Oryctolagus cuniculus: one gene and its partners. The protein of the gene in region 2 purifies or fractionates together with the protein of the main gene of each other region. This does not show direct contact. Links are inferred from orthologs where the notes say so. Each region holds a gene or a part of one and is shown on either strand. Other genes may lie near its edges.

The links.
Region 1: the proteins of MAVS (region 2) and NLRP3 purify together in Homo sapiens (affinity purification with western blotting; 4 studies listed by BioGRID and IntAct, with this or other methods). This does not show direct contact. The link is inferred for Oryctolagus cuniculus from reciprocal best matches to the Homo sapiens genes MAVS and NLRP3.
Region 3: the proteins of MAVS (region 2) and BAG6 purify together in Homo sapiens (affinity purification with western blotting; 3 studies listed by BioGRID and IntAct, with this or other methods). This does not show direct contact. The link is inferred for Oryctolagus cuniculus from reciprocal best matches to the Homo sapiens genes MAVS and BAG6.
Region 4: the proteins of MAVS (region 2) and TRIM21 purify together in Homo sapiens (affinity purification with western blotting; 3 studies listed by BioGRID). This does not show direct contact. The link is inferred for Oryctolagus cuniculus from reciprocal best matches to the Homo sapiens genes MAVS and TRIM21.
Region 5: the proteins of MAVS (region 2) and IFIH1 purify together in Homo sapiens (affinity purification with western blotting; 12 studies listed by BioGRID and IntAct, with this or other methods). This does not show direct contact. The link is inferred for Oryctolagus cuniculus from reciprocal best matches to the Homo sapiens genes MAVS and IFIH1.
Region 6: the proteins of MAVS (region 2) and NLRX1 purify together in Homo sapiens (affinity purification with western blotting; 4 studies listed by BioGRID and IntAct, with this or other methods). This does not show direct contact. The link is inferred for Oryctolagus cuniculus from reciprocal best matches to the Homo sapiens genes MAVS and NLRX1.
Region 7: the proteins of MAVS (region 2) and IKBKG purify together in Homo sapiens (affinity purification with western blotting; 4 studies listed by BioGRID and IntAct, with this or other methods). This does not show direct contact. The link is inferred for Oryctolagus cuniculus from reciprocal best matches to the Homo sapiens genes MAVS and IKBKG.

Annotation. Positions count from the first base shown.
Region 1 is NC_091437.1:1,750,667-1,754,778, reverse strand, and holds part of NLRP3 (NACHT, LRR and PYD domains-containing protein 3), read right to left. Parts: intron 1,530-4,112; coding exon 1,359-1,529; intron 1-1,358. UniProt on the Homo sapiens protein: Sensor component of the NLRP3 inflammasome, which mediates inflammasome activation in response to defects in membrane integrity, leading to secretion of inflammatory cytokines IL1B and IL18 and pyroptosis.
Region 2 is NC_091442.1:29,188,118-29,192,229, reverse strand, and holds part of MAVS (mitochondrial antiviral-signaling protein), read right to left. Parts: intron 3,718-4,112; coding exon 3,173-3,717; intron 2,075-3,172; coding exon 1,628-2,074; 3' UTR 1-1,627.
Region 3 is NC_091436.1:138,969,794-138,973,905, forward strand, and holds part of BAG6 (large proline-rich protein BAG6), read left to right. Parts: intron 1-5; coding exon 6-83; intron 84-193; coding exon 194-301; intron 302-423; coding exon 424-536; intron 537-644; coding exon 645-732; intron 733-925; coding exon 926-1,209; intron 1,210-1,614; coding exon 1,615-1,906; intron 1,907-2,071; coding exon 2,072-2,241; intron 2,242-2,433; coding exon 2,434-2,487; intron 2,488-2,612; coding exon 2,613-2,715; intron 2,716-2,821; coding exon 2,822-2,946; intron 2,947-3,104; coding exon 3,105-3,251; intron 3,252-3,339; coding exon 3,340-3,399; intron 3,400-3,505; coding exon 3,506-3,649; intron 3,650-3,730; coding exon 3,731-3,838; intron 3,839-4,112. UniProt on the Homo sapiens protein: ATP-independent molecular chaperone preventing the aggregation of misfolded and hydrophobic patches-containing proteins.
Region 4 is NC_091432.1:62,639,381-62,643,936, forward strand, and holds the start of TRIM21 (E3 ubiquitin-protein ligase TRIM21), read left to right. Parts: upstream 1-1,345; 5' UTR 1,346-1,504; intron 1,505-2,815; 5' UTR 2,816-2,863; coding exon 2,864-3,271; intron 3,272-4,076; coding exon 4,077-4,172; intron 4,173-4,556. UniProt on the Homo sapiens protein: E3 ubiquitin-protein ligase whose activity is dependent on E2 enzymes, UBE2D1, UBE2D2, UBE2E1 and UBE2E2.
Region 5 is NC_091434.1:79,413,719-79,417,830, forward strand, and holds part of IFIH1 (interferon-induced helicase C domain-containing protein 1), read left to right. Parts: intron 1-183; coding exon 184-333; intron 334-2,344; coding exon 2,345-2,506; intron 2,507-4,112.
Region 6 is NC_091432.1:111,131,495-111,135,606, reverse strand, and holds part of NLRX1 (NLR family member X1), read left to right. Parts: intron 1-343; coding exon 344-413; intron 414-816; coding exon 817-905; intron 906-1,394; coding exon 1,395-2,014; intron 2,015-2,386; coding exon 2,387-3,208; intron 3,209-4,112.
Region 7 is NC_091453.1:132,763,455-132,768,091, reverse strand, and holds the start of IKBKG (NF-kappa-B essential modulator), read right to left. Parts: upstream 2,937-4,637; coding exon 2,750-2,936; intron 1-2,749. UniProt on the Homo sapiens protein: Regulatory subunit of the IKK core complex which phosphorylates inhibitors of NF-kappa-B thus leading to the dissociation of the inhibitor/NF-kappa-B complex and ultimately the degradation of the inhibitor.

The DNA of each region.
Region 1 (4,112 bases), on a different chromosome or scaffold from region 2:
CTCCACCTCACTTAAAGTGCCCTGCAGCAGAAACTTAAGGAGCCGTCGCTGGTGATGAGGGACTTGTCAGAGGCCTCGGTTTGTTTTTCCCAAGGTTCATATGTGGAAATCCTGGTGCCCTTAAGAAGTGGAGGCACCTTTAAGAGTAGAGTCTACAGGGGAAGGTGAGGTCACCGTGGAGTGGCCCTCAGAAGGGACTAAGGTAGCTCTTGTGGAACCCACTTAGTTCCCAGGACAGTGAGCCCTTCTGACAGACCAAGCCACTTCAGTCTGTGCACTGGACTCCTAACTCAGATTCCCAACTCCCCCTCTGCGATCTCCCCTCTCTGTCTCACTGTGTTTCTCCCAGGGCCAGGGCCGTGCTGTCTGGATTTCACACTAGTGAAACTGTGAGCTAAGTGAGTTCCTTTCCTTCCTAAGTGCTCAGCCTCAGTCATTGCTGTAGCAATGGGAAAGTGTTGTGACCACACACACCCCAGTATGTGTGCGCCCCATGGGGCGAGAATGACACCACAGCCCCTCCCACGCCAGCGTCCACGGGGCCTGCACTTGCTGCACTCCTTCCTTCCCACCCCACCTCCAGGCCAACTACAAGCAAATGGACAAGGAGGCCTCCTCTGTCCCACAAACCCCACAGTGTCACTGGACTTCCTGCTGTGCCTTGCCCTCCGGGGACCTGCGGAGGACTCTTGTGGGGGTGATGGAGAGTATCACAGAGGCACATGGCTTCCAGATAAATAATGAATCTTTTTTTAAAGGAAAGAGAAAATCACATTTTGGTGTGTTCTAGTTCCTGTCCCCTTGTGGTGTGGCGAAGCTTTCCAGTCTGGGGCTCTGAGGGAGGCCAGAGAAAAGGGAACCTGCGGGGCCTGGCTCTCCTCCCCGCTGCCCTTCCTTCTCCCCTGCCAACGCTCCCAAGCACTTGGCCTCTGACCTGCTCTGCCTCCCCCTGCTCCTGTTCTGAGGCCCTTGCCCCCCTGACTTCAGAGCATGGCTGGGTTTGGAAACAGGGTCTCCAAGGAGGAAGTTAAGCCAAAGCAAGGTCCTCAGTGTGGGCCCCATTCACAGGAATGCAGGAAGAGTTCATGACGCAGATGCACAGGGATGACCCCTGAGGACACAGGGGAAGACAGCATCAAGGAGCCCACGAGCGAACCTCAGAGGCCACCAACCCTACGGGCCGTGGACTTGCCGCTCCCAGAGCTGTGAGGAAATAAGCTTCTGCTGTCCAATGTCCAAGCACCACCCCTGGGGCATTTTGTTTCCATGACAGCGTGGGAAGTTCCTGCGCCCTGATGCAGTCCCTAAGAGCCTTCTCCAGTCTCCCCTCTGTCAGCACTGCACACCCATGGGCTTACCAGAGTCTGCGAATGTTGCAGCCGGGATGCTGGAGCGCTTCACACAGGACCCTCATCCCAGGGTCTCCCAGGCTGTTGTCACTCAGGTCCAGTTCTGTCAGGCTTGGATTGGTACTTAGAACTGAGAAGAGGCCCCGGCAAAAGCTGGACGTGAGACAGGAGTTCACCAATCTAGCGGTCGAAGGAAGGAGAGCAAAGGAAATCAGGCTCCACAATAGAAACTGGCGCAGGGGCTGGGATACTTCCTAGGGTTAAGAAAGGGGTCATGAACCAAAGGCGATTCCTGGAGGGAGAAGGGGCTGAGGACATGAGAAGACCAGGCGGACACCTCATGATGGACGGAAGTGCAGCCTGAGGCTTGGCTGATCAAGAGGGCCTTCTGCTCCCTTTCTCCAGCTGTCCTGACCACAGCCCAGACACTATGGGAGACGTAGGGAGTCAGGTCCTCCTGTGAATGAGAGAGAGTGAGCCCACGGGGCTGACAGCCGCATCGCAGGTGCTGTCACCCGCAACACAGGTGCTGTCACAGGCACAAGGCTGGAATCTGCAGCAGGGCCGGCTTCTGCCAATGACTTTCCAACTCCAGGTCGCTCTCTGTGCAGTGACACTTGGACTCGCCCTCAGCTCTCGTTCACACGCATGTCTGATTCCATATCTAGGACTGGGTGTTGATTCTGCTGTGCTGACCAGGCCCCCTGAAGGTTCTGGGACCACTAAGCGAGGTCCAGGGGCCGAGAGTGGCTGCTGTCACCAGAACCCAGTGCTGAGTTTCTGCTCCGGGGATGCCACCAGCCTTCTCTGGGTGGGAGTTCTTGCTCAGGCTCCTGGCTGCTCCCCCACAGACCCAGGGCCGCCTCCTTTCCTGTCTGCCCACCTCTCCTTCCCCAGGGCTCTGGTCTGAATGTGGGGTCTCCAGAGGTCCTAGGTTGAAACTTTCACCCAGCACAGTGCTGTGTGCTGTGGTTGGGGGCTGGGCTCCTGGGGGTGACGAGGCTGAGGGTGGAGCCCTCGTGAGCAGGATCAGGGCCTTTGCAAGAGGAAGCCCAGAGATGCCCCGCCCTTCACTTTGTGAGGACGTGGCTGGAGGCCGCCACGTGGGAACGGCACCCTCCCCTGCCAGGAACCACCACGCGGACGCTTCACTCAGGCTGGGCGCAGGCGCAAGGCAGCGAGCAGCCCCATGGTCGGCTCTGTCTCCAGCAGGTCTGAATTCCTGGCCGTCTCGGAAATGGGCCTGCTTCCCATCCCTGTCCCTGAACGCTACTCCGTTCACCATGGCAGGACCCGGTCCTTCCCGGCCGCGGTGGGCCGGAGGGCATCCGGGCAGCCTGAAAGAGCGGGAACTCACCACTGCCGGCAGAAAGACCCAGTTCCCTCTTGGTCCTGTCCCAGCCTCGTGTGAAGATTGACACACTGGCGCCTTCTACCGCTGGGCGCCCAGTGCAGACCGCGGGCAGCCACAACACCCAGGCAGCAGAGCCCGGCGCTCCTCCCCGAGCCTAGGATGGCGGGTTCCAGAACCTTCGCGTCTCACCACAGTGGGGCAGGGACGGACCGACCTGACTGAGCTTTCCCACACCCGGCACCCCTCAGCATCCACAGCGTTGAAAACCAGCGAGGGGTGCACGTCCCCCGATCTCTCTCGGAAGGCTCGTTCCCAGGTGCCCAGGTCCCAAAGCACTGCCCACCCTCCCAAGCTCTCGCCTTCCTGGGCTGCCCCTCACTGCCCTCAGGTCTCAGGGCAGCTCGGGTCCCTCTCCCCTGAGACTCTGGGCCTAGGGCTGTCTTACCCGGTGCGGCCAGCTGCACAGCCTGCCCCTCAGAAGCCCTCACACGGATGGCCCTAGGTCTTGGACTCCCGCCTCTGTGATCAGAGACCACATCTCTGCCCTACACTACGTAGGCCCAGCAGTCCTGATCTTACTGCTGGAGCCTGGCACAGAGCCCCAAGCAGATCACCAGAGGCTGGAGTGTGTGTGAAATCCCACATCCCAGCTAACCTCTGTGAGAAACCAGCATCCCCAAACATTTGCTGACTGCTTTACTCTTTCGGGGGGTTGTTTCTTACTCATCTCATCTATCTGCCAATCATGAGTCAATGGGTCCGATGAAGAGATCTGGCAGGGATGGGGGGCATTGTTTTGTGCCTGTGGAAACTGCGATTGGAAGACAACTGAACAGGGAGAGCAGGAGCAGCCATTTAGCTCAGTGGTTAAGATACCCATGTCCCATGGGGAGGGAGCCATGCAGTGGGTGAAGCTGCAGCTTGGGTTGCTGCATCCAGCTTCCTGTTAATGCTTCCTGGAGGTAGTGGATTGAGTCCCTGCAACCCACACAGGAGACCAGGAGTTCCAGGCTCCTGGCTTTGGCTCCTGTTGCAGGCATTTGGAGAGTGAACCAACAGATGGAAGATCTCTCTCCCACGATCTCTGCCTTTCAAGTAGATGAAAATGCATAAAGAAAAATTATCTAAAAGATGCCCACATCCCATATCAGAGTGCTTGAGTTCAAGTCCCTTCTCCGGCTCCTGGCTCCAGCTTCCTGCCAGTGCAGACCTGGGAAGGCAGCAGCAATGGCTCCAGGTGACTGGGTCCCTACCACCCACATGGGAGACCTGGATTGTGTTCCTGACTCCTGGCTCCAGCTCCAGCCCAGCCTTGGATGTTGCAGGTTAGGGAGTAAACCAGTGGACGGGAGCTGTCTCTCTGCCTTTCAAATATATAAGAAAATAAAAGAGGAGAGGAAGTGAGTACA
Region 2 (4,112 bases):
TTTCAGATTAAAACTGGCGTCTGCGTGAACTGCTCACTGCCCTACCCAACAGGGGAGCAGGGAGGGCTGGGCGAGGGCAGGCGGGGGTGATGCACAGGAATGCAGGCCGCTAGAGAAGGGGTCTCCCTGGTTTCACAGCTCAGGCTGCTGGGCCTGGAGCATGAGCTGAACAGCAGCTCAGAGGAAGAAGTCTTTAGGACCCTGCAGGCGAAACTGGCGGCCTGGGCAGGGCACCAAACCCCGCGGGCTGCCAGGCTGGCCGTGAGCGACAGTGACCCCCAACCCCGATATCTCTGCAGACACTGGCTCTTGTCCCCTGCAGAGCTCAGGAACACAGGTAGCTCCTGTGCCTGCCCCTTGTCCAGTGACGGCCACCTGCAGAGAACCCATGCACCCCAATGCATTTCTAGTATAAACATAGCCAATCTTCCCACCAGTGGGTGGGCAGGCTTCAGGCTGGGACCACAGATACCCACCTGGCCCCTGCGGGAGAACACCCCAGTCCCCATCCTGCACGGCTGGCCAGGTAGACACACCTCCCGCCCCCCAGTCCCCCGGTGCACAGGCAATCGAGGAGGAAGGAGGCCAAAGCGGGAGACCTGGCTCTGTCCCCAAAGGCGCGGCCAGGAGCTGCAGTCCCTCCAGACTTAGCAGTGGTCATAACAGGTGTCCAACTTAGAGCAACTCATCTCATCCTCACTACACACGAGGAGTCTATAAATACATATGTGTGTGCTAACCCCCATTTTACAGATGGGAATGAAGGCACAGAGAGGCTGATAGCTCACTCGGGGTCACGGAGCTCATGAGAGGCAGGGCAGCTGCAGGCCTGGCTGCCCGCCCTACAGAGCTGCACCCCGGCCCGTTGCACACTCTGCCTTTCATGCCCTCAGCTCTACCAAGCTGAGCAGGAGAGCGGGGGGAGCACTCAGTGGTCACTGGCTCTGGGCCAACCCCTGTCTGCTTTGCTTCAGAAAATCCCAGGAAAGCATGAGCCAGGTTCTCACGCTGTCCACGTGAGACCAGAGTCGGACCATCTGCCAAGGCCACCCAGCCCAGGGAGGGCTGCATCTGAGGCCCAGGCCTTGAGCTGAGCTCTGCTCACCAGGCGGCCCCTCCCTGACCCCAGAAGGGAGCTGAGAATGGAGACCAGAAGGGGGTGAAGTGGCTGGGGCAGGACTCACAGTGGCTTCTGGGCTGGGCCACTGGGGACAGGAGGTCTTATGAGGCCCCTCGACGCAGCACCCCTGCCCTCAGGTCTTCGGGCACCAGGACAGGGCGAGGGGCACTGCCAACCCCAGGAGCTGTCCAGCTGCACCTCCTGATCTGCACATTTGGGCAAATGAGCCTGGCAGGAGGCACCCCTCCCCAGCACATGGGGTGACAACCGGGATGCAGGTGAGCGGGTCTGGAGCAGGGGGGCCAGAGGAGTATCCAGAGAAGCCAAGGATGAAGAGGGACCCAGAGAAGGCACGATCCGGGACGGAAATGCTGTTTCCACATCTCCTGCCAGGCCTGCAGCCCCGCAGCTCCCCTTGGCCCAGCCCTGCAGCCCTGAGGAAGGGATGAAGGGCAGGCAGCATGCGGTGAGGGCTGAGCAGGTGTGCAGCAGGTGGTCCTGGGGCCATCAGTGAAGCAGGCGCCGCCGGTACAGCACAGCCAGCAGTGTGGCCATGAGTGCGCTGGCCACGGCTGCCCCAAACCACAAAGCCCAGGGCTCTGCCCAGACCCATTGCACAGTCTCGTCCGTGGGCTGTGGAGGCTGTTGGGTGGCGCTCAGCCCAGGTTTGCTTTCCAGGTCAGCGCTGGGACATTCTACCACGTGGAGCCCAAAAGTGCCCACCGACACGTACTCGTTCTCCTCTGGGCCGTGGCCGGGCTCGGGGAGCAGCGAGTTGCTGGGGCTGATGGCGAGATCCGCGGAGCAGCCCGAGAAAGGCTGGCTGTCCAGCCGGGAGGCCAGCACACCTGGCTTGCTCACCTCCGGCCCAGAGTGCAAGCTGCCAGAGCTGCCGTCTGGCCAGGGCTCACTGCCTCCTGTGGCACCTCTGGGTGCTGGAGCCACCGGGGTCCCCTGGGAAAGAAAGGAGAGCATTCAAGGAACCGGGGAGACAGGAAGAGAAGCTGGGTGGGGCGCCCCCTGCTGGGTGAGGGCATTAACCAGCAGCCTAACCTCTCAACTCCCGGGCCAGAGGGGATCTAATCCACGGTGGTGCAGGGCAGTGGGGGAGCCCTCCCGGGTCTGCAGTGAGCTCACCCCTGCTCCAGGAACCCACGGTGGGATGTGGGCCCACCCTCCATTAACATTTCTGCCTGGGCCTGAAGACCACAGAGCAGCCACAGCGTGTGTGGCCTGGCCATGTGTCCAAGGGTCCCGTGGATTGATTCCCCCAAGGGGACAGCAGCAGTGAGGGCTTGCAGGGGGCAGCTAAGGGGGGTTGCTGTGTCACAGAAGCTGCTCCAGACTGGATAGGCTAGGATGACCGCAAATAAGGCCTTGGTCATGCAGTGATAGGCTGGACTCCCTGGTGGGGCCTCCCACACCCTGCCCCTCACAGGTTCCTCATCTGTGCAATGGCCTTGCTAGGGGCTGGTGCTGTGGCGTAGCAGGTAAAGCTGGTGCCTACACTGCCAGCATCCCATATGGGTGCTGGTTTGAGTCCCAGCTACTGTACTTCCAACCCAGCTCCCCGTTAATGCACCTGGGAAAGCAGCAGACGATGACCCAAGTGCTTGGGCCCCTGCCAACCATGTGGGAGACCCAGAAGAAGCTCCTGGCTCCTGGCTTTGGCCTGGTGCAGCTCTGGCCACTGAGGCCATCTGAGGGGTGCACCAGCGGATGGAAGACCTTTCTCTCTTTCTCTCTGTAACTGACTTTCAAATAAATCAATAAATAAGTCTTTTAAGAGAGAAAGGAAAGAAAGAAAGGGCCTTACTGAGCTTACCTGGGGCTGAGAGCCCTAAAAGAATGAACGCACATGAACACAGCAGGTGACCCAGCATGCCTGAGCCCCCGCCCGAGGCAGCCACACTCAGGAGCTCCCCTGACTGTTATTCCTCCTCGGGTCTGGGTGAGGCCACAGACTGCACAGACAGACTGGGAAGGGTGCCAGGAGGGCCAGCTCTGCTGGGGCAGGGGTCCCACATCACTGCGAGGTGGGGTGAGACTCACCGCAGCCCTGGTGCTGCTCTTGACGGTGGGCGCCATGCCGGCAGGTGTTTTGGTGGGCGCCGTGCTGGCAGGTGTTTTGGTGGGCGCCGTGCTGGCAGGCACTTTGGGTGACACCGTGCCAGCACCTGTTGAGCTGATGGGCAGTTTGGATGGTGCTACACTGGGAAGCACGTTGGAGGACGTTGCACTGGGGGGCTTTGCGCTGGTGGGCAACTTGGAGGGCACCGTGCTGGTGAATGCGGAGCTGGCAGGCGCTGTGGGGGCTACTGTGTCCCCAGACATTGCGTTGCTGGGCACCCTGGAGGATGCTGCACTGGGGGGCACAGAGCTGGTGGGCACTGTGTCGCTGGAGCATACGGTGGCCTTTGCCTGGACACCAGCACCCTGTCCAGCAGCCAAGCCAGGGGGTGAGGAGGTGCCAGCGGATGAAACTGACGTGGCGGGTCCGGGCAAGCGGCTCGCCCTGGGAGTGGAACGGGCCAGAGGCTGGAAGGAGACGGACGGAGACACAGGTCCGCAGGGTGGCGCGGGGCTGGAGCCGGAGCCTGCAGGTGGCAAAGCAAAAGTGGAAACACAAACCCAAGGAACTGTTATCCCAAGGGCTGCAAAAGGGCCCCCTGCCCGAGCTCAGCATGCCTTCTGCAGCTGCAGGCCTTATGGTTGCAGCCACTGGCCTGAGTCCCAACAGCTGCCCTGCCCTTGACCTGTAGCCCCAGGTCTGCCCTGTCACAGGCATTAACTGTCCTTCCTCCTGGCAAGACCCAGGAGCCGCAAGGTTATCGTGAATTCTTCTCCCGCCCAGGACACCCCCTCTCACCTGCACCTGCTTTTCCCACCTTCTCCCTAGCCAGGTGGGACCTGGGACGCCCCTAGCACTGATGTCCCCCCGCCCCCAGGGCACATCCCAGTGGGACGATCCTGCATCAGGCCAGGGAGAGCA
Region 3 (4,112 bases), on a different chromosome or scaffold from region 2:
CCCAGATTCTGGCACACAGACCGGTGGTGTTCCGAGTGCTCCCACTGGCCCCCTAGGACCCCCTGGTCATGGCCAGACCCTGGGTAAGAGTGAGGGCATCAGAGCAGGTTGAGCTCTGGGTAGAGAAGGGGTAGGGCTGAATGGGTGGGTTAAAGGGGTCCAGGTTCAAGGTTACATCAGACCCGCCCCCCAGGCTCCACCCTCATCCAGCTGCCCTCCCTGCCCCCTGAGTTCATGCACGCCGTCGCCCACCAGATCACTCATCAGGCCATGGTGGCAGCTGTTGCCTCCGCGGCAGCAGGTAATGACCTGGAAGGGGAGGCCTGGGAGGTGGGGCATAGTCCATGGTGGCGGGTGCTGTCAGCTAGTGGCCAAGGGCCCAGCCCTCAGCTCTCTCCGGTCTCTCTCTTCTGCCCCCCACAGGACAGCAGGTCCCAGGCTTCCCAACAGCTCCAACCCGGGTGGTGATTGCCCGGCCAACTCCTCCACAGGCTCGGCCTTCCCATCCTGGGGGGCCTCCAGTCTCCGGGGCTCTGGTGAGCAAGGGTAGGGGAGTTGTTCCAGTGGGGAAAAGTTAGGGGAAAGAACCCCAAACTGGTATGTGGGAAAGGTAGGGATAAAAATCTCCCCACTTCTCTCCCCAGCAGGGTGCTGGACTGGGTACCAACGCCTCATTGGCCCAGATGGTGAGCGGCCTTGTGGGGCAGCTTCTCATGCAGCCTGTGCTTGTGGGTGAGTCCTCGCTCTTCCACACCCCACACTTCAGAGATCGCCATGATTCCAAAGCCCGACACTGTCCGTGTGAACTGCTGTTTTCCATTTCTTCTCATGTTCTCTTGGTTCTCACTGTCCTGTTAACACCTAATGAGGGTGCTGTGATGTCTGAATTTTCTTCAGATTTCGTTTTGCCTTTGATTCCTTACAGCTCAGGGGACCCCAGGAATGGCTCCACCTCCAGCTCCTGCCACTGCTTCAGCCAGTGCTGGCACCACCAACACAGCTACCACAGCTGGCCCTGCCCCCGGGGGGCCTGCCCAGCCTCCACCCCCTCAGCCTCCTGCAGCTGATCTGCAGTTCTCTCAGCTTCTGGGGAATTTGCTGGGGCCTGCAGGGCCAGGATCTGGAGGGCCTGGCGTGGCTTCTCCCACCATCACCGTGGCAATGCCCGGCGTCCCTGCCTTTCTCCAGGGCATGAGTGACTTCTTGCAGGTGAGTGGCTGGCTTGCCTTTCTCCTCACCCGTCCCGTGCCCCAGCCTAGCCAGGCAGTGGGGCTGTGTTGCCATTAGGTAGCTGTTGGGCCATTGCCTGCAATTTTGTGGCCAGAGAAGGGAGCCGGGACTTTATTGACTGAACTGCTCCCATTTTGGAGATGAGGGAAATAAGGCTTTAGAGAAGAGAGAGAGACGCTGTAGTGGCTAGTGTCCTGCTCTCTGGTCTAAACCATACAGTGAGAGAGGAGTTGCTTAGGCCAGCTCTGCTGTGGACTCCCTTGCCACGAGTGTTCTTTCCTAAGGAGTAAGGTTTAGAATACGGCCCCCTGTCTCCCCAGACCGTGTCGGTGTCTGTCCTTACTCTCAGGTCTCACTTCATCATCTTTATTCTCTCTTTCCCAGGCAACACAGGCGGCCCCTCCACCCCCTCCACCACCTCCACCCCCACCCCCTGCCCCAGAGCAGCAGAGCACGGCCCCACCAGGGTCCCCTTCTGGTGGCACAGGGAGTCCTGGAGGCCTGAGTCCTGAGAGCCTTTCCCCGGAGTTCTTCACCTCCGTGGTACAAGGCGTGCTGAGCTCTCTGCTCGGCTCTTTGGGAGCTCGCGCTGGCAGCAGTGAAAGTATTGCCGCCTTCATCCAGCGCCTCAGTGGCTCCAGCAACATCTTTGAGCCTGGGGCTGATGGAGCCCTCGGTGAGCAACGACGGGAGCCTTGGTCTTCTCTAGGAGGGGATAGCCAGGGAAGGGACAGCCGGGGGTAGGTAGATGGCTTTTGTTTAGGGAGGTTGCCAAGATGGGATGAGGCCGATGGGCTGGCTGGGGGTAAAGGCCTTTGCTAACTTTCGCCCCTGTCCGCAGGATTCTTTGGGGCTCTCCTCTCTCTTCTGTGCCAGAATTTCTCCATGGTGGACGTGGTAATGCTTCTCCATGGGCATTTCCAGCCACTGCAGCGGCTCCAGCCCCAGCTGCGATCCTTCTTCCACCAGCACTACCTGGGTGGCCAGGAGCCCACACCTGGTAACATCCGGGTAAATGAAGGCCCGGAGCCTTAGAAGCCTCCCACTTCCCCCTTCAGTACCTTGTTTCTGACCCTGTTCATGTATCAGCTTACGCCGTTGACTGCGCCAGCCCTAGACATGGACCTGTGGAGGGGGGAGGGGTAGAGAAGGAAGTCTCCTGAGACTGAGGCTTGGGCCTGACCTCTGCTGTTCTCCCCGTAGATGGCGACACACACATTGATCACAGGGCTAGAGGAATACGTGCGGGAGAGTTTTGTGAGTGACCCTTCTGTATTGCCTTCCTCTCCTTGGGTCTGGTCCAGACAGCTGATGTCCGTAGTGCCTTCTCCACTTCCGATCTTTCAGGGTTCCTGATCTGGGGTCTTTGTCTTGTCCCGCAGTCTTTGGTGCAGGTTCAGCCTGGTGTGGACATCATCCGGACAAACCTGGAATTTCTTCAAGAGCAATTTAATAGCATTGCTGCTCATGTGCTGCACTGCACAGGTCAGGGCCTGGCCAGGCAGGGGCTGGCTAGGTGTGGGTGCATGGTATGTAGCGGGTGTGCAGAGCTGCCAGGTGCCAGCATTCTCTCCTTATATCTTGCCTGCAGACAGTGGATTTGGGGCCCGGCTGCTGGAGTTGTGTAACCAAGGCCTGTTTGAGTGCCTGGCCCTGAACCTGCACTGCTTGGGGGGACAGCAGATGGAGCTGGCTGCTGTCATCAATGGCCGAATTGTAAGCACCATCCCACCCCAGCTCCCCAGCCATTTGTTTCTTGAGGTCTCCTTGCTCCTCATTTTTCTTCTCCCAAGTACTATCCTGTACCCTAGATCTGATGTATTTTAAAAGCCGGCTGAGGGTTTTGTCTTCCCAGTCTGTTTTCTGCCCCTCAGCGCCGCATGTCACGTGGAGTGAATCCGTCACTGGTGAGCTGGCTGACGACCATGATGGGCCTGCGGCTTCAGGTGGTGCTGGAGCACATGCCCGTGGGCCCCGATGCCATCCTCAGATACGTCCGCAGGGTTGGTGATCCCCCTCAGGTAAGGGACACGGCGGGCTCTGGGACCAGGGCGCCTGAGGGGGCCGGCGGGGTCTAAGAGGGCCTGTCGGTGTTCTCCAACCTCACAGCCACTGCCTGAGGAGCCCATGGAAGTTCAAGGAGCAGAAAGAACGTCCCCAGAGCCTCAGGTAACAGGGAGGGGTGGAGAGGCCAGATGATGGGAACTGGGGGGCTGAGAGGGCAGGGCTGGGTCTCAGTTCTGAAACCTGCCTCCTCCCACCGTCTGACTGCCAGCGGGAGAATGCCTCCCCTGCTCCTGGAACTACAGCAGAAGAGGCCATGTCCCGAGGTCCGCCCCCTGCCCCTGAGGGGGGCTCCCAGGATGAACAGGATGGAGCCTCAGCCGAGACAGAACCCTGGGCCGCTGCTGTGCCCCCAGTAAGTGCTGAGAGGTGATCCAGGGAGCTGAGGCCACTGGGAGTTGTGGGAGTTACTACTTTTGGATGTTTCCTTTCCCAGGAATGGGTTCCTATCATCCAGCAGGACATTCAGAGCCAGCGGAAGGTGAAGCCGCAGCCCCCCCTGAGCGACGCCTACCTCAGTGGTATGCCTGCCAAGAGACGCAAGGTCGGTTTACCTCTTCCCTGAGGATCTTTGTCCAAGTTCCCCTCTCATGTTTAAAATCAAACTAGAGTTGGAAGGGGCTCTTCTAGTTCGGGAAACCTTTGGGACTCATTTTCTTGCTCATAGTTGTTGCATAAAACCACACAGGACTTGGCCTTAGTTTGCTGGTAGTCTTGTCTTGGTCTCTAATTGTACTGTGTGACTAGTGCCCACTTTTCTTTAAGATGGCTTCCTTTTGCGGCCTAACTAGTTCTAAACTCCAGATGGCTTGACCCAT
Region 4 (4,556 bases), on a different chromosome or scaffold from region 2:
GCAACAATCTGTTAGCTCTATACTGCCCCTAGAATGAGGGTCTTCCTGCACCTTCCACAAACATGTATCAATGTTTTCAACGTCACCTCAAGCAAGCTGCTTCATCCATTCAGCCTCAGCACCCCTCCCCTCACATAAACCATAATAACCCTTAATCTGCCAAATTATTATGTGACTTACATAATATAACCTAACATAGCAACATTATTCTCAATAGTCAAAAGGTAGGAGGAACCCAAGTATCCAACATCAGACAAATGGATAAATAAAATGTACATACAATGGGATGTTCAGTCTTAAAAAGGAAGGAAATCCTGACATGTGATACAACATGGATGAACCTTGAGGACGTTATATTAATGAAATAAGCCAGCTGTGAAGGTACATATTCTAAAGCTGATTCCACTTATATGAGGCACCTAGAGTAGTCAAATTCATAGAGACAGAAAGCAGATGGTGATTGCCAGGGCCTGAGAGAAAGGAAATAGTAAGTTATTGTCTGGGTACAGAATTTCAGCCTGGGATGATGAAAATGTTCTGGAGCAGATGGTGGTGATGGTGCCACAACAAGGTGAATGCACTCATTGACATTCAATGGCAAACTGAAAATGGTTAAGGTGGTAAATGTCTCATATTAAAATAACATACTGTAGAATAGTGGTTTTTTTTCTATTTAACCCTACACTAAAGAGTTAATCTCATGAGTTATACAGTAAACTGAAAGATCATCCTAAAAATTGAGGGAATAAGAGGAAGGAGGGAGAGAAGGATGAGAAGTATCACTAGGTTCCTAAATCTGTAGATGAGTTACATGAAATTTGTTTTATCTTAAATATCAAAAATAAAAATGATATAACCTGAAAATATCCTTAGCTCAATGACAAGAACCCAGCTGGTGCTCAATAAAATGTCAGCTCCCTTCCTACCACTGCCCCATGTGATATCCGCCTCAGAGTCCTGAGGAATAAATCTCCCACCCCTGGAGGTCACCAGAAACATGAGTCCGATGGGAAGCAACTGTTTCGGCTGTCAGGAAGCAGGTGGTGGAGGCCTGTGAAGGAGAGAGCCAGGCATCCTTTGCATCCAAACCTCCTGAATAGCAGCTCCCAGAGGTGCACATAGCATTCAGGTACGAGGTGATGGCCGGTGTCAAAGCATCGATTTTTTTCACTAAGATAGATGACAAGGACAGGAGGAGGAGTGTACGCCCAGATGACATGTTGCTGAGGTTTAACTGGGCTGTGACAACTCCCCCGGCTTGGCTCTGTCTTCCCTCCTCCCACTTTTCTTTCTCTGCCCTGCTCCTTCTCCCCTACACCCGGTCATCCCCTGCCTCCGCCCTGACCCCGCCCAGTCTCTGCCCTGTCCCTCCCACCACCCCTCCCTCATCCTCCTCCCTGGGGCCCCTCCCCTTTCTCCTCCCACTCTCCTCCCTTTTCCGTTCAGACTGGCCTCTTAGAGGAAATTGAAAGTGAAATAGAGAGCTGTTGAATCGCCTGATCAGGTGAGTGAACCCGGCAGGACCACAGTACCCCTTCTTGCCTGGGTGGGGGAGGGTCTCTCTCCCCTGCCTCTGATTCTCTCTTCCAGCTACTCACTAACCCTAGAGCCTTCAACCCCACTGGCCCCGACTCGTTCAACCCAAGCCCAGCCATTCTTCCAGCACTGGCCGGTCTGCCTGAGAGGAGGCTGGGCTGAGTGTGACTTACAAACCACAGGGATGGGTGGAGCTCAGGCTGCTGTAGTGCAGGTACCTGAACTGGGCCAAGGGAAAAGGTGACCCTGGGTGTAAGGGAGCTGGTGGGTGCCCAGAGGAGCCCCCTGTGGAAGAATCCTCACTCTACTAAACTGGTCCCCAATCTCCTGCTAGAAAGGGAAAGGGCAGGCTGTTTAGGGTGTTCAATTAGAAACTTATTTAGGTTCAAGATTCTTTGCCCTAGAGGAAGTGCACAGACATATTCACATCTGTAGCAGAATATTTCAAAGTTAATGGAAATGGAATTTACTTTTGGTGCAAAAAATTGGAAATCCATGCACCCATTCGTAGTATACATTTTCTGTGAACTTTTTGAAGACCCCTTATGAATTTTTTAAGATTTTATTTTATTTGAAAGGCACAGTTGCAGAGGCAGAGAGAAAGACCGCATGCTCTTCCATCTGTTGGTTCACTCCCCAAAGGCTGCAGTGGTGGAGCTGAGCTTATCAGAAGCCAGGAGCCTACTGTTTCTTCCAGGTCTCCCATATGGGTGCAGGGGCCCAATGACTTGGGCCATCTGCTTTCCCAGGCCATAGCAGAGAGCTGGATCGGAAGTGGAACTAGCACCTATATGGATTGCAGGCAGCGGCTTTACCCACTATGCTACAGTGCCACCCCCCCCATGAATTTTTATGTATTTCATATATATGGGAGTAGAACAGAGAGAGACTCTTGCCATTATATTGAACAGTAGTGAAGATATTATACAAAGCACATAGCTCCTCTCTGACACATAGAAAGCACCTGGTAAATGACTGCTCATACTATGATTACCTCCTCCAACCTAGGCTCTGAGGATGTAACCCAGATGGACATGATGAAGTAGAATTGTCAGCAGACTTATCTGAGTCTCTCCCCCGTTTTCTCCTCGTTGGAGGACTCTGTCTCCCTTCTTCCAACAGGATCACTGGGCCAGACTGTGGAGGAGAGGCTCCTGCTGTTTGGGTTGATGTTCTTGTCTTCTCTTGCTTGGCACCACCAGCTCATCTTGTTTTCCTTTGCATTATTGTGTTCCTGTCATGCAGATCTCTTCTTTTCTGTTCCTTCTTCCCCCACCAGAGCACCCCAAGGTCTGCACAGTGCTGCCCAACAAGGACTGTCACTCCCATGGCTTCTGCAACGCCCCTGGCAATGATGTGGGAGGAGGTCACATGTGCCATCTGCCTAGATCCCATGGTGGAGCCCGTGATCATTGAATGCGGTCACAGCTTCTGCCAGGAATGTATCTCTAATGTTGGGAAAGATGGGGGTGGTATCTGTCCTGTGTGCCGGAATCACTTTCTGCTCAGGAACCTCCGGCCCAATCGGCATCTAGCCAACGTGGTGGACAACCTTAAACAAAACAGCCAGGCTGCCAAGGATGAGCCACAAGGGCAGCGGTGTATGATACATGGAGAGAAACTTCACCTGTTCTGTGAGGAAGATGGGCAAATCCTCTGCTGGGTGTGTGCCCAATACCAGAAACACCGTGAGCACCACACAGTCCCTATTGACGCGGCTGCTCAAGAGTACCAGGTGAGGCCTTCGCAGAGACATGGACAGATCCAAAGGAGAGGGGCTGGGTGAGTTTTGTTACCTCTGGAGTTCAGAGGTTGGGAAAAGAGGGATACTTTCCTCCTTTCATGTCCAGTCTAAACACAACCTTCTCATTAGAGTAGTGGATACACTCTGTGCAAATGCTATGAAGTCCATGTTTCCTTGTGGACTCCTGATAAATTAGGTGTGAGAAATGCCCTCATCCTGCCATGCCAGTAGTTCTTTTTTTTTTTTTATTTTTTGACAGGCAGAGTGGACAGTGAGAGAGAGAGACAGAGAGAAAGGTCTTCCTTTGCCGTTGTTTCACCCTCCAATGGCCGCCACGGCCGGCGCGCTGCGGCCGGCGCACCGCGCTGATCCGATGGCAGGAGCCAGGAGCCAGGTGCTTTTCCTGGTCTCCTATGGGGTACAGGGCCCAAGCACCTGGGCCATCCTCCACTGCACTCCCTGGCCACAGCAGAGAGCTGGCCTGGAAGAGGGGCAACCAGGACAGAATCCGGCGCCCCGACCGGGACTAGAACCCGGTGTGCCGGCGCCGCTAGGCGGAGGATTAGCCTAGTGAGCCGCGGCGCCGGCCAGTAGTTCTTTTTTGTAAGACGCATGATTTGGGCTTTTTCCACAGTCTGCCTATCCACCAAATGCCTACCCTAATCAGACCCCAGTCCTCCCTCCTTCTCTGTGTTTAGGCTTTATTGAAGAACCAGAATGATCATCTCCCACCCCAAGCCACTCCACCCTACTTCTTGGTTTCGTTGGGATTAACCTGTTACTTTGTTTTTGGCAGGAAAAGCTCCAGGTGGCATTAAAAAAGCTAAGATGCCAGCAGGAGTTGGCAGAGAAGTTGGAAATAGATGTTGCAATGAAGAGAGCAGAGTGCAAGGCAAGAGACACTTCTTGATGGGGTGGGGGGGGGTCAGAAGGCTGGGCAAAGTCCAGGGTCCTAGTATCAAGAAAGCCTTAACCTGAGCTATGTCTGAGAATGATAATTGCCATATCACACCCTCTGGGAACCAGCCATCCTCTTAGTCTCCAAATAGAGAAGAAAAAAAAAAAAAAAAGGAGAGGCTCACAGGAGAACTCCCAATCAGGAACAAAGAGAATTATTGAACAACTGTTCTGCGAGGGCCAAGCTACATCCTAGGGCTCCCTGCTCCTCTGAGCCCAGACTCAGGGTATGTATGACAGCATCAGAACCTCAGTGTCTGGAGCAGGGGTATTCCAAGAGAGAAGCCCCACTGCTATGCCTTTAAGGAGATGAGAGGAG
Region 5 (4,112 bases), on a different chromosome or scaffold from region 2:
AAATCAAATGTTGTCTCCCCATCATGTCTTTGTTCAATGCCAAAAACAGATGGCAGCAAATTCATGTATGATCTAATCCTTTGATTTACACTGACGAGTTGCAATTTATTATTCCATCTCCTAATTAGAAGATTTTAATGTGTTTAGCATCACAAAATTTAATTTATTAAAATGTTTCTACAGAATGAACAAAAAGAAGTCATTAGTAAATTTCGCACTGGAAAAATAAATCTGCTTATAGCTACCACAGTGGCAGAAGAAGGTCTGGATATCAAAGAATGTAATGTCATTATTCGTTACGGTCTCGTCACTAATGAAATTGCCATGGTCCAGGTACATTCAAATACCTGTTTCTGATATGTTAATTTTTATTTCTGTGTTCCTATTTTAATTGCTTTCTTCTAGGAAAACAGCACAAAACCTCTCTTGTGTTTTAAAAATATATCCTTTTTTTCCTGCTAAAAGAGCATTTTTTATATTTAATATTTTTATTTGAGAGGCAGAGATAAAGATAGATAATCAAATTGTCCACAAGGAGGTGGGGGAGAGGTGTGAAGCCAGGATCCCGGAGCCAGGAACTCAGTTCAGGTTCCCTGTGCAGGTAGCAGGGACCTAACTACTTGAACCATCACCTGCTGTCTCCCAAGATGCACTTCATTTCCCCCTCCCAAAGAAACATTTTATTTAAGGAATACAAACTTGATGCATTTTATAAGTACAACTTTAGGAATATAGTGATTCTTCCTACCATACCACCTTCCTATCTACTCTCCCACTTCTTCTCCTCCTCCCTCTCCCATCCCCAGTCCCATTCTAAAAGAGCAATCTTAAAGAACTGTGCAGTACTGCCTTTTTTGCTATTGCTGTTTGACTCATATGGTGACCAGATATCTGTTGCCCTTTTAAACAACTCTTGCTTGGTTGATATTTCTGTCTCAAGACTTTCCAAGACCATTACACTAGCCCCACATCTAGGAGTCCAAAGAGACCTCCTTATTCCTAAGATGTCAGCAAGTCCCCCACTGGACCAAAAATAGGAAGCACACATTTGTGAGATGAATGTCTTACAAAATAATGTGTCCAAGCTCTAGGGAGCGTGCCCTTCCTGTGTTCTAATTCCTTATTCTTTCAATTTTTCTACAACTTTAAAAATTTTCATGATAATCTGTTGGTGAGGATGGACTTATAAATGCAAATGTAAATAAATCAATAAGAGTAAGATGATACAGTTTCCTTTGAATGTTCAATTTATTTATGTATTAACAATATTTCCATTACCTTTTGTTGAGGATAACAGAAGTCATGCTAATTGATATAATATTCTTCCCATAGATTGAACTAAGGGATTGTTTAAAAGTTACTCATTTGAGAGGCAGAGAGGTAGAACGATAGAGACAGAGAACACCTGTCTAACTGATTTACTTCCCAAATTTAATCCCACAAATGCTAGAGCTGGGCCAAGAAAAGCCAGGAGCTGAGAACTCCATCCAGGTCTCCCTTGTAGAAAGCAGGGGCACAACTATGTGAGCCATCGCCTGCAGCTTCTCAGGGTGCACATTAGCAGGAAACTTGAATCCAGAGCAGAGCCAGGACTTGAACCCAGGCACACCTGTACGTGATGCTAGCATTCCAACCCATACCAAGTGTTATTTTTTAATACCAAGTTGCATCCTTGAATGTAAGGTAAATCATAGAAGACTAACAGATATGGAAGTAATTTTATTTCCAGAGTTGATTTGTGAGTAGTTTTTTTTTTTTTTTCCCTCAGAATGTAGTTTTCCTTGATGATAATATTATAGTTAATAGCTAGGCTCCTGGGCCAGAGCACAAAGACTTCTTTTATTTGTAATGTACCTTTACATCTTTGTGGAGATGTCTATAGGAATTTGTCATGAAGTGGAGCTTATTTTCATGAGAAAATATGTTCAAATTCCAATGTGGAATGCCAGGAACAGACCTCTCTCAGCGTCCTGATGTCATGTTAGAAATGCTCCCTTTTCACCATGGATCCTTCTTGCCAGACAGGGGAATCCCAGTTCAAGTCACTGATCACAGTTCCCATGTTTTGAGAGAGGAGCTATGAGAACAGAAAAGCTGGACAGGAGGGCATCTGAAGGCTGGTATAGGGGCCCAACCATCATCACTCCAGAACACTGCTTCTGGGTTAAAGCACATTTTAAGATTCAAAGGCTTGACCTACCAGGAAGGGATAATAACTATACTAAGACTAGTGAGATCACTTGAAGGCTGGAATGCTGAGCAATGAATATCATTCTCAGCATAAAACCAGTAGAGTTTGTACAACACATAACCTTTCATTTACTTGATTTGTTTATTTTCTCAGGCCCGTGGTCGAGCCAGAGCTGATGAGAGCACCTACATCCTGGTTGGCTGCAGTGGCTCAGGAGTTGTTGAACGTGAGACAGTGAATGATTTTCGAGAGAAGATGATGTATACAGCTATACATCGTGTTCAAAATATGAAACCAGAGGAGTATGAGCATAAGGTATTGTTTTTGGATACCTCTGGATTTAGTTTTCATTTAAAAAAAAATGGATGTATGTGGTTGCCATTGATATCCCTGTGGCTTAGTCTCCAGACAGAAATTGTGCTGAATTATAAGTTCCTGTTTGATGCGTTGTCCGTAGCTCAGATTCACAAACAAAAGTTACCAAGATCCATGGTGGGCAGGAAGCTGTCAGGGAGCTCATTCCAGTCAAACCAACAATGAACTTTGATGATATAAATTTAGGCTGCCTTTAATCCAGAAAACTAGCACAACTCACCCATTCAACCCAATCTGGTCATTTGAGTTTGATCCAAACCTTTTGTATAAGCACACATTTTTATCCCAGCAATATTTATACAGTGCCTACTATGTGTCAGGCAATGTTTTAGGAACAACAAACATGGTGGCAAACCACACAGAGAAGAACGCTGCTGCATGAAGCTTGCATTCTAGTATGAGCTTGGCGAGATTTGACAAGGAAAAACAATGGACAAAAATTTAAACACTAGATATACATCATGTAGAGAAAAATGCTAAGGAATTATATTAAGAGAATATGAAATCAGTCACTACCTGAGTATTTCGGATCGAGTGGTTGAAGAAGGTAACATTGTGGGAGTGACACTGAAGCTGAATCTAAATAATAAGAAAATATGTAACATGTCTTCTAGCTGCATCTCAGTTTACTAACACAGAGTTATTGGAGTCGTGTGAAGGAATGTGGTGAAGGAAGAATGTATCTCTACAATATTTCAGGAAATCCCCCATACCACTGAATTAAAAAACTGTAACTACTATAATAGCAAACAATCCATTTAGAAGAAAATTCACACCCTTGCATATGGGTGTGAATGTTAGTTTCTTAACATTGGAATTGGCTCTACCCTAAATAGAGTTTCACAAAAGGGATGCTTTCAAATTGGTGTGCAAAGCTGTAACCAACTCCAAGGTTTCCTGGCCAGGTTTCTACACAAACTTGTATTTTAAAACCCTTTTAAATAGAAGGCAAACCAAACATTTTGGAGTATCAAATCAAACTTTTGTCACCAAATGATGCCACTAGAAAGTTACTGCCTCACGTTTACTTTCCTAAGAAAATGAACCAGGCAGCTATTTACGAAGGGTGATGTTTTAAAACTATTCTTGAGATACAACCTAAGACAATCTCTGGAGTTAATGGGTCAAACTTTTCAGTTACTTTAGAATAAGACACAGTTCCTTTGAGGACTTCTGAGCAGATTGTGTTTTGGGGTCTTCTTTGGAGACGAGACCTGTCCTCCCAACACTCTACTTCAAGTAGATGGAATTAGCACAGGAATGGCAATGAGGGGAGGTGCATGCCACCACTAGTCTGTCCAAAGTCCCTAGTAAACACTGTCACCAGTTCACAGCTACTCAGAGAACATCTCCTTGCTTCTGATTTCAGAATCTTTCTCAAAACATCATTCAGGCTATCACTAATAAGTGGCAAGAGTTGACACATAAGGTAAAATATGTTTTCTATGTCATATGCAGAATTTATACATAACAATAGTCTTCTTAAATTCCACTCAGGCTTCAAGAGGCAAGTTGAGGATGGTAAACATTTTCCCTGGCATTGACC
Region 6 (4,112 bases), on a different chromosome or scaffold from region 2:
CGAGGTGATCTTGGAGGGTATCTTGCATCTGTATCAGTCCAGGAACATGTGTCCGACCTCCTTTCACATTTAACAAATGTTTCCTACGTGTCCTCCATGTGCCACACCCTGTGTTAAGTTCTAGATCTATCGTTATGAACAAAACTGGATGTGATCCTTGCTCTCATGGAGGGGAAGGGAAGCCTGCTAACCAAGTGATCATGTAATGGGGCATGAAGTTGCACAACTGCTGCTACAAAGGGTGGTGCGTGCTGCTGGGAGAGCAGATAATGGAGGCGGGAGTTGTGGACTTGGGGAAATGTGGCTGAGATCCGGAGATGTCATTTCTTCCTTCTCTTTGTAGGCGATTGTACCTCCTCCCTGGTCCGCCGGAGCTGGCCCCTTAAAGGGGAGCACCCCCTTGCGCCCCCTAGGTGAGGCCTGGTTCTCATACCTTAGGATGCTTCTGGTCACAGCAGAGGATGCTGGGAAGGGTCAGGCCTTGACACTAACTTGATCCCCTCAGGGAGGGGTGGGGAGGATACACAGTAGCTCCCAGCCAGAGAGGAAGTTGGAGTCTATGTCCCAGTGGTCGGGGTGGGGGGACACCTGTGGGAAGTGGGCAGTCTGGCAGCGGCCGGCCTGAGTTCCAGGCAGGCAGCAGTGGGCTGATGGGCTAGGGGCAAGGCCTCAGGGTCTGGGACGGCTCCGAGAGTCAGACCAGGCCTTGCCTAGGCTGTCCAGTGGCAGGCCTGCACCTCAGGAAGCTGCAAATCAGAGCCCATGCAGGGGCTGAGCTGTTCACACCTTACCTTGTCCTCGCTCCTCACTCCCCAGGGCCTTTGCACGCCACCGTGGGAGCTCAGCTGACAGTGCTCCCCCACCAGGGAGGCACGGACAGCTGTTCAGGAGCGTCTCAGCAGCTGGTAAAGGGACTGGCTGGGTTCCTGGGGGTCAGGGGAATGGGGAGGAAGGGGCCTGGAAGGAGAAGCGGGATGAGGGAGACATAGAGGGTCCACTGCCATCGCCCGCCTGTGTCCCTCCCTCTCTGCACTTTGTCTTCCATCTGTCTGGGCAGCCTTCCTTCAACACCCAGGCCAGGCACACCCGGTAGGTACAGAGCCCCTAGAGACACACACTGTCCTCTCTTCAACAAGCTGGGGCCCAGAAGCCAGGTGGAAACCACACACAGATAGTCACAAAGCCAGCCAGCCAGCCCAGGCTCAGCATTGTGCACCCAGTGGCTGCCCGCTTCCTGCCATGGGGACCCCAAGCTTTCTGGACAGGCTGTCTTTCCTGGGCTCCAGCCTGCCCTGGGCTCCAGCCTGTCCGACGCTACCCACACGCCGCCCATGCTGCGCTCTGGCATCTCCAGGCCCTTTTTCCTGACCTGTGTTCCTGGCCTCCCCTCTCAGAGGCCATCCAGCGGCACCGCCGGAACCTGGCTGAGTGGTTCAGCCGGCTGCCCAGGGAGGAACGTCAGTTTGGGCCAACCTTTGCGCTGGACACAGTTCACGTTGACCCTGTGATCCGTGAGAGCACCCCCGATGAGCTCCTGCGTCCACCTGCCGAGCTGGCCGTGGAGCAGCAGCCGCTGCTACCGGGGCCCCCGCCGCTCGCCCTGTCTCAGCTCTTTGAGCCAGACGCCTGCGGGCGCCGGGTACAGACTGTGGTGCTCTATGGCACGGTGGGCACAGGCAAGAGCACGCTGGTGCGCAAGATGGTTCTGGATTGGTGTTACGGGCGGCTGCCAGCCTTCGAGCTGCTCATCCCCTTCTCCTGTGAGGACCTGTCGTCCCTGGGCCCCGCCCCAGCCTCCTTGTGCCAACTGGTGGCCCAGCGCTACGCGCCCCTGAAGGAGATTCTGCCCCTGATGGCTGCAGCCGGGTCTCGCCTGCTGTTTGTGCTCCATGGCCTGGAGCGGCTCAACCTCGACTTCCGGCTGGCGGGCACGGGGCTTTGTAGTGACCCCCAGGAGCCGGGGGCACCGGCTGCTGTCATCGTCAACCTGCTACGCAAATACATGCTCCCCGAGGTGGGCGGCCCCTGCCCCACCCCTGCTGCCCTTGCACTTGCCCTGGGGGAGGGGGTTGGGGTCCTGGGCCTGCATGTTTGATGGGTAGAGAGTTGGGCCTTGTGTTAGTTCAAATCCTGACCTGTTCACTTCCCAGCTGTGGCCCCAAGTGATCCTGTCCCCTCCAGGCTACGGTTCCCTTTTCTCCTTGAGTTGTCCTGATGAAATGAGATACTGCAGATCAGAGCCGGGGCTCAGCAAGTGTTAGTTATGAGTGTCGTCATCCGCCTCCTCATCCTGGGAGACTGTCTTTGGGCGGCGGGGGGGTGGGGGGGAGACGGAGGCAGTCAGGACGGTAGGGTCTTTCTTAGCCCTCAGCCGTGTCCTTCCCAGGCGAGCATCCTGGTGACCACACGGCCCTCTGCCGTCGGCCGCATCCCCAGCAAGTACGTGGGCCGCTACGGAGAGATCTGCGGCTTCTCTGATACCAACCTGCAGAAGCTCTACTTCCAGCTCCGCCTCAACCAGCCGGACTGTGGGCACGGCGCGGGGGGAGCCGGTGTCTCAGCCACGCCCACTCAGCGCGACAACCTGGTGCAGATGCTCTCGCGGAACCTGGAGGGCCACCACCAGATCGCCGCCGCCTGCTTCCTGCCCTCCTATTGCTGGCTCGTCTGTGCCACCTTACACTTCCTGCATGCGCCTACGCCTCCCGGCCAGACCCTCACCAGCATCTACACCAGCTTCTTGCGCCTCAACTTCAGTGGGGAGACGCTGGACAGCACCGACCCCTCCAATCTGTCCCTGATGGCCTATGCAGCGCGAACCATGGGCAAGCTGGCCTATGAGGGCGTGTCCTCTCGCAAGACCTACTTCTCGGAGGAGGACGTCCGGGGCTGCCTGGAGGCCGGCATCAGGACGGAAGAGGAGTTCCAGCTGCTCCACGTCTTCCGCCGGGATGCCCTGAGGTTCTTCCTGGCCCCGTGTGTGGAGCCGGGGCACCTGGGCTCGTTCGTGTTCACTGTGCCCGCCATGCAAGAATACCTGGCCGCCCTCTACATCGTGCTGGGGCTGCGCAAGACCACCCTGCAGCGGGTGGGCAAGGAAGTGGCCGAGCTCGTGGGCCGTGTCGGGGAGGACGTCAGCCTGGTGCTGGGCATTGTGACCAAGCTGCTGCCGCTGCGGATTCTGCCCGTGCTCTTCAACTTGCTCAAGGTAGTCCCTAGCCCCGGGGTTCCCCCCGCCCCGCCCCGGTCCCTTCCCTCCCCAGGACCCCGGGCTGCTGCCCACCTGCCCCCTACCAGAGCAAACAGCTCTTTCTGGAGGTGAATCTTCCCCTTGGCTCTGGTTTCAGCTCTGGGCCATTTGGCTGTTTTTTTTTTTTTTTTTTAAAGATTTTATTTATTTATTTGACAGGTAGAGTTACATACAGAGAGAGGGAGTGGCAGAGTAAGGTCTTCCACCTGTGGCTTTACTCCCTAAATGGCCACAACAGCCAGAGCTGCGCTGATCTGAAGCCAGGAGCCAGGAGCTTCCTCCAGGTCTCCCACGTGGGTGCAGGTGCCCAAGGACTTGGGCCATCTTCTCTGCTTTCCCAGGCCACAGCAGAGAGCTGGATCGGAAGTGGAGCAGCCGGGACTCGAACTGCTGGCACTGAAGGTGTTGGCTTAGCCTACTATGCCATAGTGCCGGCCCCTGGGCCATTTGGCTTTTAGTAGGAATGGGGCATAAGGAATGGGGAGAGAGAAACCACAAGGCTGGAGAAGCTTTGGAGGCTAGGAGGGAAGCTGAGGGCACAGGCACCTTAGTGACAATCAGGCAGATCCCTAAGCACGGTGTCCTTTGTGCGTCTCTCCGTCCAGTCTTTGTGGCTGGGAGCAGGGGTCACCACGGTCCAGGGCCTGTCATCTGCTCCACAGGTCCAGAAACTCGATTGTATCTGTCCCTACACAGGCGATTAGACTGCGCGTGATGACTCATCCTGATGAAATCACCAGGGACAGGCTTATAAAGCAGAGGTCATTTGATTAATTTACCCAGGGAGGATGGATGATGGCACTGGAATTGGCTTAGGACAGTCCATCCTGGACGCAGAGCCGCTCCAGAAACCAAATTACAG
Region 7 (4,637 bases), on a different chromosome or scaffold from region 2:
GTAGGTGCCTGTCTAAGCTTCAGTGCCTGCCTCTGCGTATTCGACAGGGACAAGAACACCTGCCCTCTAAGCAGCAGCAGCAGACACAGTGTTTGTGCAGAAACTCAAAAAAGAGCAGTCTTTGGCCGGCGCCGCGGCTCACTAGGCTAATCCTCCGCCTAGCGGCGCCGGCACACCGGGTTCTAGTCCCGGTCGGGGCGCCGGATTCTGTCCCAGTTGCCCCTCTTCCAGGCCAGCCCTCTGCTGTGGCCAGGGAGTGCAGTGGAGGATGGCCCAGGTGCTTGGGCCCTGCACCCCATGGGGAGACCAGGAAAAGCACCTGGCTCCTGGCTCCTGCCATCGGATCAGCGCGGTGCGCCGGCCGCAGCGCACCGGCCGTGGCGGCCATTGGAGGGTGAACCAACGGCAAAAGGAAGACCTTTCTCTCTGTCTCTCTCTCTCTCACTATCCACTCTGCCTGTCAATAAATAAATAAATAAATAAATAAATAAATAAGAGCAGTCTTCTTCTCGCCAGACTAAGCCATGAGCATATATCAGTGCCAGCGGCAGGTGGCTGGCAGAGGCCAGAGGAGAGGAAAGCCACATACCCAGCGACCACCCCAGGTAGAGGAAGAAGCATCTGACAAAAGCGATCAGTGACGTGCAAGGTTCTAGGGCAACCACAGAACCGTATCCAACAGAGGTAGACAGTAGTTTCACATCACTGAATGTTCCAAACCCTTGGCCATCACTGCTGCCTGCCCACTCAACCCGAGTCTCAACTTGTGTGCAATGTCTTTTAAATTTCTTTTTAGTGACGTAAAAATTCATGTAACATCAAATTCACCATTTTAACTATTTTAAAGTATAGTCATCCAGTGGTTTTTAGCTAATGAAGCTGTAAGATCATGCAACCATCAGCACTACCTAATTCCAGAACATTCCCAGCACCCCAGAAAGAAACCCCAAACCCAGCAGCATTCTCTCCCGTAGGCCCCCTGCCCGCACTCCTGGCGTCCACTCAACTGCTTTCTGTCTCTGAGACATGTCACGTGAATACAGGCAAGCTCTTCCGGGAAGTTTCTTCATAAACGTTCTGAGCAAACACTGTACCCTCCCTTGTTTGGTTTCACAGCCTACCTATAGACACAATCATGAGCACCTTGGGGGACAATCACCTTCAGGGCCCCGGGGGTCTCACATGCTGCCCCCCAAGCTTTATCCAGCTTCCCAGTTGGAGGCAATATAGCCTCAAGTCTCCACTTGCTGCCAGAGACTTAGCAAAGCTGTTGTGCTGAACACACAGTCTAGGAGGCAGAAGAGCCGAGCCACCACAGGCCATGGCATGAGCCCTGCACAACTGCTCTGAAATGCTCTGGGCCCCTAGGGATGAGCAGAGGCCCCGATCTGGCTGCCAGCTCTATGTGCATGACTTGTTCTGAAGACCCCAGCACAGTGGGTCCCACTCAAGGACAACTGTGACTCCCAGGGGACTGGAGGGGCACTATTGGCACCTGTGAGTAGAAGCCAGGGATACTGCTCACCATGCCACAATGGCTAGGACAGCCCTCACCACAGAGAATTAGCTGGCCCCAGAGGTCAACAGAACTGAGGTAGAAGACACTGCTGCTCTGTGCTCAAGACAGGGCCTCGGGGCCAGCGCCGTGGCATAGTGGGTAAAGCCGCCGTCTGCAGTGCCACCATCCCATATGGGCGCTGGTTCTAGACCCACTGCTCCACTTCCGATCTAGCTCTCTGCTATGGCCTGGGAAAGCAGAAGATGGCCCAAGTCCTCAGGCCCCTGCACCCGCATAGGAGACCCAGAAGAAGCTCCTGGCTCCCAGCTTGGGATCAGCACAGCTCTGGCCGTTGAGGCCATCTGCAGAGTGAACAAGCGGATGGAAGGCCTCTCTTTCTCTGTATGCCTCTGCCTCTCTGTAATTCTGCCTTTCAGATAAATAAATCTAAAAAAAAAAAAAAAAGGCGGGGCCTCTCCAATGCAACCTTCAAGGAAACCAAGCAGTCTCTTGGTGGCTAGCTGTCTCCTAGGAAGAGGACACACATTCCAGACCCAGGTCTGCTCCCTGCGTGCATGGCATCTGCCAGCACCACTCCCTGAGGCCACAGAGCACGTGACTCATCAGCAAAAGACCCTACATCACATCCAACACTCACTTAAGGAGGTGGGGAATGGGACTACAACTGTGGCAAGAGCCACTGGCCAACTAGGACATGAATGGCCAACTAAAGACACAACTGAGGCATCAGCTACCCCACTGCAGCAGGGGTCATGCCTCTCATGCTGGTCAACACCACCTCCTCTCAGGGTGGGCCACACCCACTTCCCAGGACAGGCCACAGCACCCCCCTCTCAAACAAGACCGCAACCCACCCCAGGAAAGTCTGAGTCCCCTCCCAGGGAAGAGGTCCTCTGAGGCTGGGCCACGCTGGTCCAGCCTGGAAGTGTCAGTCCAGCCCCAGAGTCCCTGGGGGTCAGCCAAGGCAGCCCACTTCTGCTGCCCACCCCTGCTTTCTCCCATCTCCTTCCCTTCTCTGCCTCAGTACTGACCCTGCCATGCACCTCGGTCTGCTCCCAGGGAACCCCGCCTGGAACCAGGAGGCAAGGTAGCTACGCTGGAAGCACAAGCTGGCTCTCGGGGTGCCCTCGCCCCACACCCAGCAGACGCAGAGGTGCACGAGAGAAGCCTTGCCTTCAGCAGGACCAGATCCCCTGACTTTGTGCCCCACCTACTTGCTGTCCACCTCACCTCGGAGCTCTTGGTTCTCCTCCAGACAGCGCTGGAGAGCGTCAGGAGCACCCTGCTCTGCGGGCAGATGCAGCATGGCCGGCTTCCCCAGAGAAGACTCTTCAGGCAGCACGTCCTGGTCCCCGGCCGGGCCGCCGCTGGGCTGCACCATCTCACACAGCTGGTTCTTCCAGGGCTGCCTGCTCATCCAAGGCACGCTCTTCGAGAAAGGCAGCAAAGGCATCCCATGAGACCCAGGGGAATTCTCATCCCCAGCAGGATAAGTACACTCTGTGCAGGAGCTCTGGGGCCATGAAGGCAAAATGCTGATCCCTCTGGCCGAAATGGGGTTTCGATCTAAGAGGTCACAAACACCCTCATTCCGAAGGAAGATGCTGAACCACCTCTGTGAGACTTGCACAGGCCATGGCTTAGCACTGGTTACGGACTCTGTACCAGCACCCATCTTCAGGATGCACACCTAAGGCAGGAACTTTGCCAGAGGCAGAAAACTAAGGATTATTGTAGCAGGAGACATCGGTGTGCGCTGGGACCCCTACCCTTACACAGACCCTCAAGCCGGAGGGGATGTTCCCTCCCAAGTACTGTAGGCTGCATGGTAGCCCCAAAACCTATAAATGCAACTTTATTTGGGAAAAGTATCTTTGCAGATGTAAACTAAGGGCCTTGATCAAAATGAGAGCTTGCTGGGTTATTCAGGTGGGCCTTAAATCCATTAACAAGTGTCTTTATAAAAGACAAAAGACAGAGGAAAACATGCAAGGAAGAAAGCCAGGTGAAAACAGTCAGAAGGGGCCAGCATTGTGGTGTAACGGGTTAAGCCACCATCCCATATAGGCACTGGTTCAAGGCCTGATTACTCCACTTCCAATCCAGCTCCCTGCTAATGCACCCAGGAAAGCAGCGGAAGATGGCTCAAGTGCTTGGGTCCCTGTACCCAAGTGCGAGACCCAAATGAAGTTCCTGGCTCCTGGTTTCAGCCTGGCCTGGCCCTGGCCATTGCAGCCATCTGGGGAGTGAAACGGCAGACAGAACATCTCTCTCTCTCCATCCTACCCTCTCTATCTGCCTTTCAAATAAATAAATCTTTTTTTAAAAAAAATGAAGCAGATAGTGGCCAGGGAGTGCAGTGGAGGATGGCCCAAGTCCTTGGGCCCTGCACCCCATGGGAGACCAGGAGAAGTACCTGGCTCCTGCCATCGGATCAGCGCGGTGCACCGGCCGCAGTGCGCCGGCCGCAGCGGCCATTGGAGGGTGAACCAACGGCAAAGGAAGACCTTTCTCTCTCTCTCTCTCTCTCTCACTGTGCACTCTGCCTGTCAAAAAAAAAAAGAAGCAGATAATAAAGAGATGTGGCCACATGCCAAGGAAAAATCAGAGCCACCAGAAGCTGGAAGAGACGAGAGAGAACCCTCTCCTCTCAGCCTCTGGGGCTGCAGTCCTGTCGACTTTTTGCTTTCCAACTACTGTCCTCCAGAACCACGAGATTACATTTCGGGTGCTTTAAGCCACCAAGCTTGTGGTCACTGCCTACAGCAGTCCTCACAGACCTAGCAAGAGGGGCTCTGAGTCCACTAACAGTCTAACAAGTGTAGCCCCTGGAGTCAGATATGCGCTGAGGAATCTTCAAAGTGGGAGCTGGCCTGACACAGTTGAGGAAGAAGACAGGCTGAGCCGCCTGTGTTTTCTTAGAAACCAGAGCTGGTGCGTGGGGAACAGCACCAACCCCAGGACCTTTTAAATCCTGCCAAGAAGACCGAGCACCAGGAGGAAGTGGCCAACCCCAATGCAAGTCTCCAGAAGCAGGCTTGACATGAAGGAATGTCACTTTAACACCAAATAAACTTGGCCACTTGGACTATAACACTGATCTTGTCCCAGTGAATAT